Nothobranchius furzeri: one gene and its partner. The protein of the gene in region 1 binds, or shares a complex with, the protein of each later gene. Links are inferred from orthologs where the notes say so. Each region holds a gene or a part of one and is shown in the gene's direction. Other genes may lie near its edges.

Evidence for each region. The genes of interacting proteins can lie anywhere in the genome.
Region 2: vps8 (region 1) and tgfbrap1 share a complex: the UniProt entries of both Homo sapiens proteins name them as parts of the putative class C core vacuole/endosome tethering (CORVET) complex. The link is inferred for Nothobranchius furzeri from reciprocal best matches to the Homo sapiens genes VPS8 and TGFBRAP1.

Annotation. Positions count from the first base shown.
Region 1 is NC_091752.1:59,816,275-59,821,590, forward strand, and holds the start of vps8 (vacuolar protein sorting-associated protein 8 homolog), read left to right. Parts: upstream 1-2,111; 5' UTR 2,112-2,193; coding exon 2,194-2,265; intron 2,266-5,316. UniProt on the Homo sapiens protein: Plays a role in vesicle-mediated protein trafficking of the endocytic membrane transport pathway.
Region 2 is NC_091749.1:37,399,221-37,404,472, forward strand, and holds the start of tgfbrap1 (transforming growth factor-beta receptor-associated protein 1 homolog), read left to right. Parts: upstream 1-2,130; 5' UTR 2,131-2,146; coding exon of another isoform or gene 2,147-2,220; 5' UTR 2,221-2,238; intron 2,239-2,311; coding exon of another isoform or gene 2,312-2,380; intron 2,381-2,540; coding exon of another isoform or gene 2,541-2,645; intron 2,646-2,760; coding exon of another isoform or gene 2,761-2,876; intron 2,877-4,996; coding exon of another isoform or gene 4,997-5,126; exon of another isoform or gene 5,127-5,252. Other genes in the region: cul4a (cullin-4A), read right to left, coding at 1-36, 175-367, 448-566, 1,049-1,116, 1,519-1,601, 1,732-1,821, 1,908-2,070, 2,147-2,220 and 4 more. UniProt on the Homo sapiens protein: Plays a role in the TGF-beta/activin signaling pathway. It associates with inactive heteromeric TGF-beta and activin receptor complexes, mainly through the type II receptor, and is released upon activation of signaling.

The DNA of each region.
Region 1 (5,316 bases):
TTATAGGTGACAACCAATGAAAACATCAAATCTGGTATCTCAGAAAATTAGAATATTCTAAAGGCCAATGAAAAAATGTTTGTTTCTCTAATGTTGGCCAACTGAAAAGAATGAACATGAAAAGAATGTGCATGTATAGCACTCAATACTTAGTCGGGGCTCCTTTTGCCTCAATAACTGCAGTAATGCGGCGTGGCATGGACTCGATCAGTCTGTGGCACTGCTCAGGTGTTATGAGAGCCCAGGTTGCTCTGATAGTCGTCTTCAGCTCCTCTGCATTGTTGGGTCTAGCGTATTGCATCCTCCGCTTCACAATACCCCATAGATTTTCTATGGGGTTAAGGTCAGGCGAGTTTGCTGGCCAATCAAGGACAGGGATACCATGGTCCTTGAACCAGGTGCTGGTGGTTTTGGCACTGTGTGCAGGTGCCAAGTCCTGTTGAAAGGTGAAGTCTGCATCCCCATAAAGTTGGTCAGCAGCAGGAAGCATGAAGTGCTCTAAAACTTCCTGGTAGACGGCTGCATTGACCCTGGATCTCAGGAAACAGAGTGGGCCAACACCGGCAGATGACATGGCACCCCACACCATCACTGACGGTGGAAACTTTACACTGGACCTCATGCAACGTGGATTCTGTGCTTCTCCGCTCTTCCTCCAGACTCTGGGTCCTTGATTTCCAAAGGAAATGCAGAACTTGCTTTCATCAGAAAACATAACTTTGGACCACTCAGCATCAGTCCAGTCCTTTTTGTCCTTGGCCCAGGCGAGACGCTTCTTGCGCTGTTTCATGTTCAAGAGTGGCTTGACACACGGAATGCGACACCTGAATCCCATGTCTTTCATGAGTCTCCTCGTGGTGGTTCTTGAAGCGCTGACTCCAGCTGCAGTCCACTCTTTGTGGATCTCCCCCACATTTTTGAATGGGTTTGTCGTCACAATTCTCTGCAGGGTGCGGTTATCCCTAGAGCTTGTACACTTTTTTCTACCACATTTTTTCCGTCCCTTCGCCTGTCTGTTAATGTGCTTGGACACAGAGCTCTGCGAACAGCCAGCTTCTTTAGCAATCACCTTTTGTGTCTTGCCCTCCTTGTGCAAGGTGTCAATGATTGTCTTTTGGACAGCTGTTAAGTCAGAAGTCTTCCCCATGATTGTGGTGCCTTCAAAACAAGACTGAGGGACCTTTTAAAGGCCTTTGCAGGTGTTTTGAGTAAATCAGCTGATTAGAGTGGCAGCAGGTGTCTTCTATATTCAGCCTTTTCAGAATATTCTAATTTTTTGAGATACCAAATTTGGAGTTTTCATTAGTTGTCACTTATGAATATCAAATTTAAATGTAATGAACATTGGAAATACATTGGTCTGTGTGCATTGCATGAATATAATGTACAAGTTTCACGTTTTGAATGGAATTACTGAAATATTTTCAACCTTTTGATGATATTCTAATTTACTGGCCAGCACCTGTATATATGTATTGTGTATATATATATATATATATATATATATATATATATATATATATATATATATATATATATATATATATGTGTGTGTGTGTGTGTGTATGTATGTATGTATGTATTGCCAACCTAGAAAAATGTTTGCCCCTCTTCTGCCACCCCATAAATAATTGTCTAGATCCGCCCCTGGATACTGGATCGGAGTCAATCAATCTGGGTGGGTGGGGGGTGGGGGTGGGTGACAGATCCCCCCCGTCCCCCACCCTATCTGTGCACCTGGTCTAGAGCCACTAGTGTGTATGTTAAGTCAGAGTAATTGAACATCTGAACATTAGTTCAAGTCAAGTCTAACTTTATAAAATTATTTTCTGTGGTCTGACTCGAGTGCAAGTCATGTGACTCAGTCCACACCTCTGGTAGCTTCTTCACAGAAAAAAGCTGGTGAGTGGTCTGAGGACAGTTGTTAGCTTCAGACTGACTTTTTATGAATGAACAAACACTGAAGGTAAAAAGTGGCGATATGACTGACAAACATAATGATTTAACTCATAAAGGAATCCCGCGCTTCTAAAACCATTTCATCTTCCTTGTTTCTGGTGTGTTGCAATTACATTTAGTGCCAACAGATGGCGGGATTTCATCTCTAAGCTATTGGGCCTACTGATAACCATAGAAGAAGAGAAACCCCCCGAAGAAGCGGAAGAAAAAGCATCGGCAACGTAAACACACAAAATGTCGCAGCCACCAGACACTGGGAGCTTTTTATCAGCCTCTTCTCAGCTCAACCTCATGGAAGCGGAACCGGTGAGAGAATTACGCCCCGTTATACCGTCAGCTATACGAGACCGGTTCTCCCGGACCCGACCAGGTTCCTCCGTCGTTGGGTCCAGACCACAGCTTGTGGTCCGCCACACACAGCAGCATCAGCTGCAACAATAACAACAACAATAGCAGTCTTTGGACGCAGCATGCTACATGTATCGGTCTTTGTCAGATGACGTACCGGGTGCTGTAGCGCTAGCTGCTGATAGCTGAGTGTGTAAACACCAGAAGCGTTGCTCGGTTTGTGTGTTGTGAGCTTATAAACCTGCAGAAATGGTCCACTCCTGTTGTGTGAAGAGCTGCCATGCTGTTGGTTTTAGGCTGGTGCCATAATATTTTGACGCTCCCCCTGCTGATTTTTGTCCTTGCATCAGTTTTAGTAACTGTTTGATATACCAAGGGAGTTCTCCGTTGTGTATCTAAAATACAACTCCTCATCTGCAGGTATTTCCAGAAGTCTTGCTTAGGGATTCTGTACTACTAACTGTGTAAAACTCATCAGAGTATCCCCCTCAAAGACATCTCCTAAATAGATGATCCCCGCCTCTATCCATCCTTTCCAATAGAGGCTTTTTTTTAAAATCACTGTAAGAGCTTTGTTATACCACAGAGATGACCTTCTAGCCTAGTGAACTAGACCAAATTCTTGCTTTGCAAAGTTTGGTCTAGGCATGCTCCATTGGAACCTCTGCAGCTCCTACCAGGACTCTGGCTAGCCAATCACAACTCTCTAGAGGGGTTTCAAACACAAAGAGCTGTGATTGGTCCATAATGGTGGGCCAATCATAGTGCTCTATCTGCTTAGTGAACAAATCACAGAGCTTTATCCACTTTGTGGGCCAATCAGGGCACTCTATATGCCTGGTGGGTGGGATGATGCAACAGAGTGAAACAAGAGTATGTCACATTCATTGTCCAGTGGAATGCGGAGATCATTTGAAAGACAACGGTAGAACCCGCCCCACAACCGAGAGCCGTCAATGGAGCGTGGCCAGACTAAATAATACATTTATTTAGTCTGGCTTGCCAGGCTAATGACCTTCTAGTGAAAGAGGGATTCAAATTAGCCATTTTATGTACTGTATGCCATGTTTTCCTGGCGAATGCCAATACTGGGTTCCCAGTTGAGACGTCTCCCCCACTTTGAGAAATATAGTCCTGCAATGGCATTGGGGCAGTAAGTTCTTTTTCAATTAAACTCCAGACCGGGGCCTGGTCCTCTGGCCTATATATTTTTGCCATTTGTTTGAGAGAGAAGGCATACTGGTACCAGTCCATCCTTGGTAGCTCCAGACCCCCATCTTCTTTTGCCGCAAACATTTTAGTTCTATTCAATTGAGGTATTTTATCTCCCCACAAAAAGACTGCCACTGCTACATTAAATCTTCTCAGTTATGAGGGGGGGAAAGCCATGGGTAATAGATATGCAATGTAATTAAGTTGTGAAATCACTATCATTTTAGTAATATTTATTTATCCTAATAGAGACAAACCTATTTTAGCCCAATTTTGTAGCCTGCCCTCAACTTTTAAAAGTAAGGGGAGGATGTTTTCCATCACAATATCCTTTAGACCTGGAGTGATTTTTATCCCCAAGTATACTAATTCCTTTGGTGCCCACTTAAACTGCCAATCCTGCCAAAGGCTTGGAGGAATTGAGTTAGACAGGGGCATATCTTCTGACTTTCCCCAGTTTATCTTATAGCCAGAGACATTGGAGAAGGTCTCGATCACCGATAGGATCTGAGGGACAGCTACTTCTGGATTAGTCAAATCAACTTTATTTATGTAGCACTTTCCATACAAAAAAAAAATGCAACTCTTAAGTGCTTCACAGATTAAAATGGCCCCATAGATCCCCTGCAACGGTGGCACAGGAGTTAAGTGCTCGCCCCGTAATCAGAAGGTTGCAGGTTTGAGCCCCGCTCAGTCTGTCGCTGTCGTTGTGTCCTTGGGCAAGACACTTAACCCACGTTGCCTGCTGGTGGTGGTCGGAGGGACCGGTGGCGCCAGTGCTCGGCAGCCTCGCCTCTGTCAGTGCGCCCCAGGGCAGCTGTGGCTACATTGTAGCTCATCCCCACCAGCGTGTGAATGTGTGTGTGAATGGGTGAATGACTGATTGTGTTGTAAGTGCCTTGAGGGGTTCCAGAACTCTAGAAGGCGCTATATCAAATACAGGCCATTTACCATATATCTAGCCCAGCCCCCCTCCCCAAGTATAAAACAATTGACAATTGCATTTCCCCTCCCGCAACCAATTTCCAAGGTGAGCGTACACTCACCCACACACTCGCACGCTCGCACACGCAGTCAGTAGTAGTATGTCATCCGCGTACAAAAGTAGTTTATGCTCCATCTTACCTGCTAATATCTGCTTAATATTTGTATCGTTCCTGATGACCGCCGCCAGAGGTTCTAATGCCATGGCAAAGATTAAGGGGCTCAGAGGGCATCCTTGCCTTTTACCCCTGTGTAGGAAAAACTGTGGAGATGCCTTCCCATTCGTTAATACGGAGGCCTTCGGATTGCAATATAGGAGCCTAACCCATTTTATAAATGGAGAGCCAGCCCAAACCTAGACAGTGTCTTGAATAAGTATCCCCACTCCACTCTGTCAAACGCTTTCTCTGCGTCCAGGGAGAGGGCCACCACCTGTCCTGGGTCATTTTTAGCTTGCCAAATTAAATGGAGTAATCTCCGAACGTTGTCTGCTGAGGACCTCCCCCGGATAAAGCCCACCTGATCCACGTGTATGAGATGGGGCATATGAGCCTCCAATCTAGTAGCTAAAATCTTAGCCAATATTTTGGCATCTACATTTATAAGTGACACTGATTTGATCTAATTTCAGAGAAAAATAGAACAGGTTAGATGCACCTAATAAATAAAATTACTAACAAACTCAGGAGTCTGTTTCTTTGCTTCACTGTTTTGGTGCTGAGAATATCACTAATGCGGATCAAAGGAGATACACAGATGAATGCACCTCTTATTTATTATTTGGAGACTACATTTACTACAGCTGGCAGAGGC
Region 2 (5,252 bases), on another chromosome or scaffold:
TGTTCCCAGCTCTCAGCTTAGAATCCACATATTTAGCTGGACGAAGGACAAGTTGTAAAAGATGTCATTAGAAAGAGGAACCACTAAAAACCAATACAAATCCGTTTGGGGAATGTCACTCAAAGAAAAAAACAACTATTCTTTGAGTTTGGAGAGCAGACTGGCCTCATGTACCAATGAGTTCAGCTGGCTTGTTGGGCCTTTTGTTGATAAACGTTTCAAACGCCTCCTTCATGGCGTTGATGAAAGCCTCATTTCGTGCAAAGCAGCTCTGCACTACATTGTCCATCTTGTCCTTAAAGTCCAGCAGGTCCTGGACCATGTCCTTGTCTTTCTCTGGTGTGCATACAATCTCTCCACCAAATGACTGCAACCAGAAAACGCATGTATTCACATTTCTCAGACATAACGAGACTAAGCTACGTTAGTCTAGTTTATTACATCTACCTTGATGTAATCCCTCCAAAACTGCAGCAGAGTAGGAAGTCCTCCCTTCCCTTTGCTGAAGAGCTGGTAGAGGAGAGTCAGCTCGGTAACACGATTCTCATCTAGAAGATTACTTAGACCTGGAATGAAAACAGCCATGAAGGCATATGACTGCATGTGTAATTGGATTTTACAGACTGGCACGGACATAGCAGCAAACCTTCAATGGTTGAGCTTTACCGCCAGATCAAATTAACTCATTAGGAAAAAGCTAAAACAAACAAACCCAGAAGGCCAAAAGAAACAAACCCTAAACAACGGAGCTCAATAGAAAGTTTGTTTAGTCAATTTGTTATGGTTTCTGATTTATGAGGTTCATAAAACGTGTAAAACAATTAACTAGAGCGAGATTTATGTAAACAGACAGAGCTTTCTTTAAAAATGATTGGCTGTAAACAGAGTTTTGGGAATTTGACTGCTGTGTTTCACAAGGAGGACATTATATTACATAAATTCAACCCAGCTGGACCAGTTATAGGCGATACATCCACATCAGCACCACTTCTGAAGAATCTCACACGGCTTCACACCATCGCTTATCTTCTGACAATAACAGATGTACCTTTTTGCAGGATTGCAGTCATATGTTCTCCTAAAAGCTGTTTCTCAATGCAGTTAATGAGAGGTTTCCTGTGAATTGAGCAAAAAGAAAACACAAGAAAGAAGGAAAACTAAGTGTGTGTAACAGGAAACAACAGATACACACACAATACTGTACAGTTTGGAGAAAAGGATCGTCTACAGCAGACATCTGTGATCCAAGGTTTTGTATACAAGAACATCAGAATGAACTAATTTAGTCTATCAAATCGGAAAAATATCCAACCTGTATTATTATTTATTTAACCGTGTTTAAAGACTGTAAAAATATGTTTGCTTCCATATTGATGTGTGTCGACTCTGGTTTCTTCTGTGAATTTTGGTCAGTTCTGATTAATCTCAAAGAGCTAGAATTATCAGAAAATATTTGCTCCAGGGTCTAAGCCTTGCTAAAGGGTGAATAAATCCTGCTGTGACAGTTCCAGATCTTACTGAGTGCTCTGGTCGAGGTAGCTCATGATTCGGTCATTCTCCTCCTCTAAACGTCGAGCCACATGGTGCAAGTATTCTGGTACCTGCACGAGCACGCACGCACGCACACACACACACACACGCACACACACACACGCACACACACGCACACACTGCTAATTCACAATTTACTTTAACCGCATGATAAACAGACGAATTTATCATCTCACTCACGTCTCTCTCCTGCATCAGCCGTTGTCCCTCAGCTGCATAGAGACGATTTGTCTCAGTCAAAAATCTCTCCTCAAACGAGTCTCTATAAACCTAAAATGTTTTTGTTAGGTTAGATGATTTGTTGGAAAATAATCTTCCTGTGCATTTACAGATGTGATAAACTGGAGATGGTGTACCTGCAGGTCTGACAACATGCCCAGTAAACTCCGGAGAAGGCTGCGATCAATGGTCTCGCCGTTGCGCTCCAGCTCTATCTGCTCCAAAAGTCCCTCCACTGTTCGCTTCTGAACAGCAACATCGCTCACGATGTGGGTGCGGAACAGTTCCAGCCCGGTGTCCCTGCAGCACATGAACAGCATCAGCTTCCTGAGAGCATCCTGACAGACCGGGAAAAGCTCAAACGAGCCGAGTTTACCAAATGGAGGGGAGCAGAGAGTTCTGAAGCACATAGGTACGATCCAGGAAGAGAAAGATACTTCGGATCATTATCTACAAACAGGGACACAGGTTGGTTCATTTATGCTTTACTGACATTTATTCTACAGTTTTTATATGGAAATCTATCAGACGTTGCACTTACAGTTTGCCTGCAGTGGTCCTGCCAGCATCGATTCATTCGCTTTAGGAAGGAAAGGTTGTCCAGAGACTCTGTGAGCTCCAAGTTGAGGAAAAAACGTCAAATTTATCAGAAGTCTGAGTCGAGTTTATGGTCATCTGATGGTAGAAATAGTCAAATATGTCTTAAGCTGTAAACATCTGAGCCACACTTGGGGTTAGTCTGACACGACTGAGCACAAGTCAAAAGGATATTCTCTGAACTGATGGATCTGGGCCTGAACGTGATCTTCACAGACTTGACGCAGCTGTTTGTAGAGTGTGGGGGAAACTTTATAGGAGCACAGGTTCTCCACCGCCTTTCAGTGACATATTTCATCACAGACAAGAAGAAAAAATAATAGACATGTTAGCAGCTGACACGATGTCACATGTCTAACCCAAAACTGAGCTTGTTTGTTTTAACAGACAAACCTGGTAGAGCTCTTCCAGGTTGTACTTAATGGAGGTGCTGTTCTGGATGGCTCCTACTGCGTCTCGAAGCTTCAGCCACGTGTCTTCTGTGTAGTTCTCTGATAGCTTGGGCCTATCTGTAACCAAAGCAAAGCAAAGGTTGCACAATTTATAAAGAGAACATCATGAAATGACAAGATAAGGCGTGTGTTTACCACTAATCGATTGACTGATTGATTTGATTGATTTGCTTTATTGTCATTGCACAAAAAACCCACACTGTAATTTTGACAAAAAAATCCCTTTGCTTGGCAACCCGCAAGATAAAAATGTGAGACTATAAATTGTAGCCTTAAAAATACTTATTATAAATCAATGAATAGTTCAGTGCAAATTATAAATTGCAGTATACTTAAAAAATAATCTTTCACTTGGCGTTCAATAATCAAATACTTATCACTTGTAAGTCGCTTTGGACAAAAGCGTCTGCTAAATACATAAACCTAAACATAAATACTCAAAGGTTTGAATGAATCACGCTTAAAATAACAATAATTTCTACTATCTGAAACATTATTTTCAGCTTCAGTAAACTGTCACTTCCCTTCTTTCATGTCATTTTGGCACTGACCTCATATAAACTAAGTGTTTTCATCCTGTTGGTGTGGGTCATGAAACACCAGGTGGAAGATTTTATAAAATAAAATTAACTTTAAAATGATCAGAGTTAAAACTCTTCAAAACAAACGTTGTTTTGTAAACATTTAACTAATCTATGCTCCATCTGATTTGAAAACATGTATGATAGCTTTGATCAATCTAGCAGTCGATCTACGCTCCTACCCTCACCTATGGCCACAAGCTTTGGGTAGTAACTAGGGATGTGTATTGGTGAAATTATAGCAATACGATACTTATCACGATACAGGGGAGGCGATATAATATCTCACGATACATTCAGTCAGACGATATTAGTGATATTTTTAGACTGAATTTATTGTAAGAAAATTCATTAAACAGTCCAAACTGATACTGAACATGTTTAACATGAGTTATCTGAACCATAATAGAGGGATTTACATTTCAATGGTGGAAACAAACCCTTTGCACACTGCTGCCAACTAGTGGTCGGCGTTTGAATTGCACCAAAAGAAAAGTAAATACGCAAATGTTTGCGTGTAAATTCTTCCAAAAATTAGAGACACAGCTTTTGAAAATCAATACAATATTGCAGGAAAAATATCACGATATATTGTGATATCAATATTTTCTATACACGGCTTTTAAGTATTGATATAACATCGCTGGAAAAAATATCCTGATATACTGCCATATCGATATTTTTTATATCCCTTGTAGCAACCAAAAAAACGAGATTGTGGATACTAGCGGCCAAAATTTGTTTTCTCCGCAGGGTGTCTGGGCTCTCCCTTAGAGATAGGATGAGAAGCTCAGTCATCCAAGAGGAACTCGGAGTAAATTTGCTGCTCCTCTACATCGAGAGGAGCCAGTTGTGGTGGCTCGGGCATCTGGTTAGGACATCTCCTGTACGCCTCCCTGGTGAGGTTTTCCGGCATGTCCAACAATGAGAACACCTAAAGGAAGACCCAGGACATGCTGAAGGGACTACATTTCCCATCTGGTCAGGGAATGCCTTGGGATTTCCTTAGAAAAGCTGGCCCAAGTTAGCCTAGTGAACTAGACCAAATTCTTGCTTTGCAAAGTTTGCAAATAATACATTTATTTAGTCTGGCTTGCCAGGCTAGGCCCAAGTGGCTGGAGAGAGGGAAGTCTGGGCCTCTCTGTTTAGGCTGCTGCCCCCGTGACCTGACCCCGGGATAAGCAGACAAAAATGGATGGATGGATGGATGATAGCTTTTCAACTACACTGCAGAAGTACATGTCAAATTAATTAGATCAGTAACAAAACAATGAAAGGTCTAAAATGATTTTAGTATCGAAAAGTCATTAAAATGCCTTGTTTTGACAGAATTTTGGCAATAAAGTAACATTTGTTGGAATTGTTATAAAAATGCAGGTATTTGGTACTACAATACAAATCTGTTTATGGCACAAAAATAAAACTTTAACAGTGCATCAAGTAGATCAAATACATTGCACTCCCTCCCAAGAGATGTGTCATACAGAAAAGCCTTTCAGGGTGTTATTTTATCAAATGAGAACAACCTTTTTGATCTCCATGGTTCCAGTAACGATGCTGCTTTACGGCAAAAAGAGAAACACTCAGGGACAGTACCTTTAAAGTTTTTGATCACTAGTTTCTTTGAAGCACCAGTTTTGCTGGACGTCCTGGTCATCCCGTTGGTGCCGTGCTCCGTTAGCGCGGAGAAGCTGGCCCGCTTGTCCTGTCGGGTGTCCTCTGCCATTATCAGATTAGGCTTAACGCTGTATGGTTCAACTGATTTTCTAAATTACTGCTGGATTGTTCTGTTTTCACCGTCTCTCAGCTGAGCGAGACGTCTTTGGTTAAAAGCGCAGAAAGTTAAAAGTCC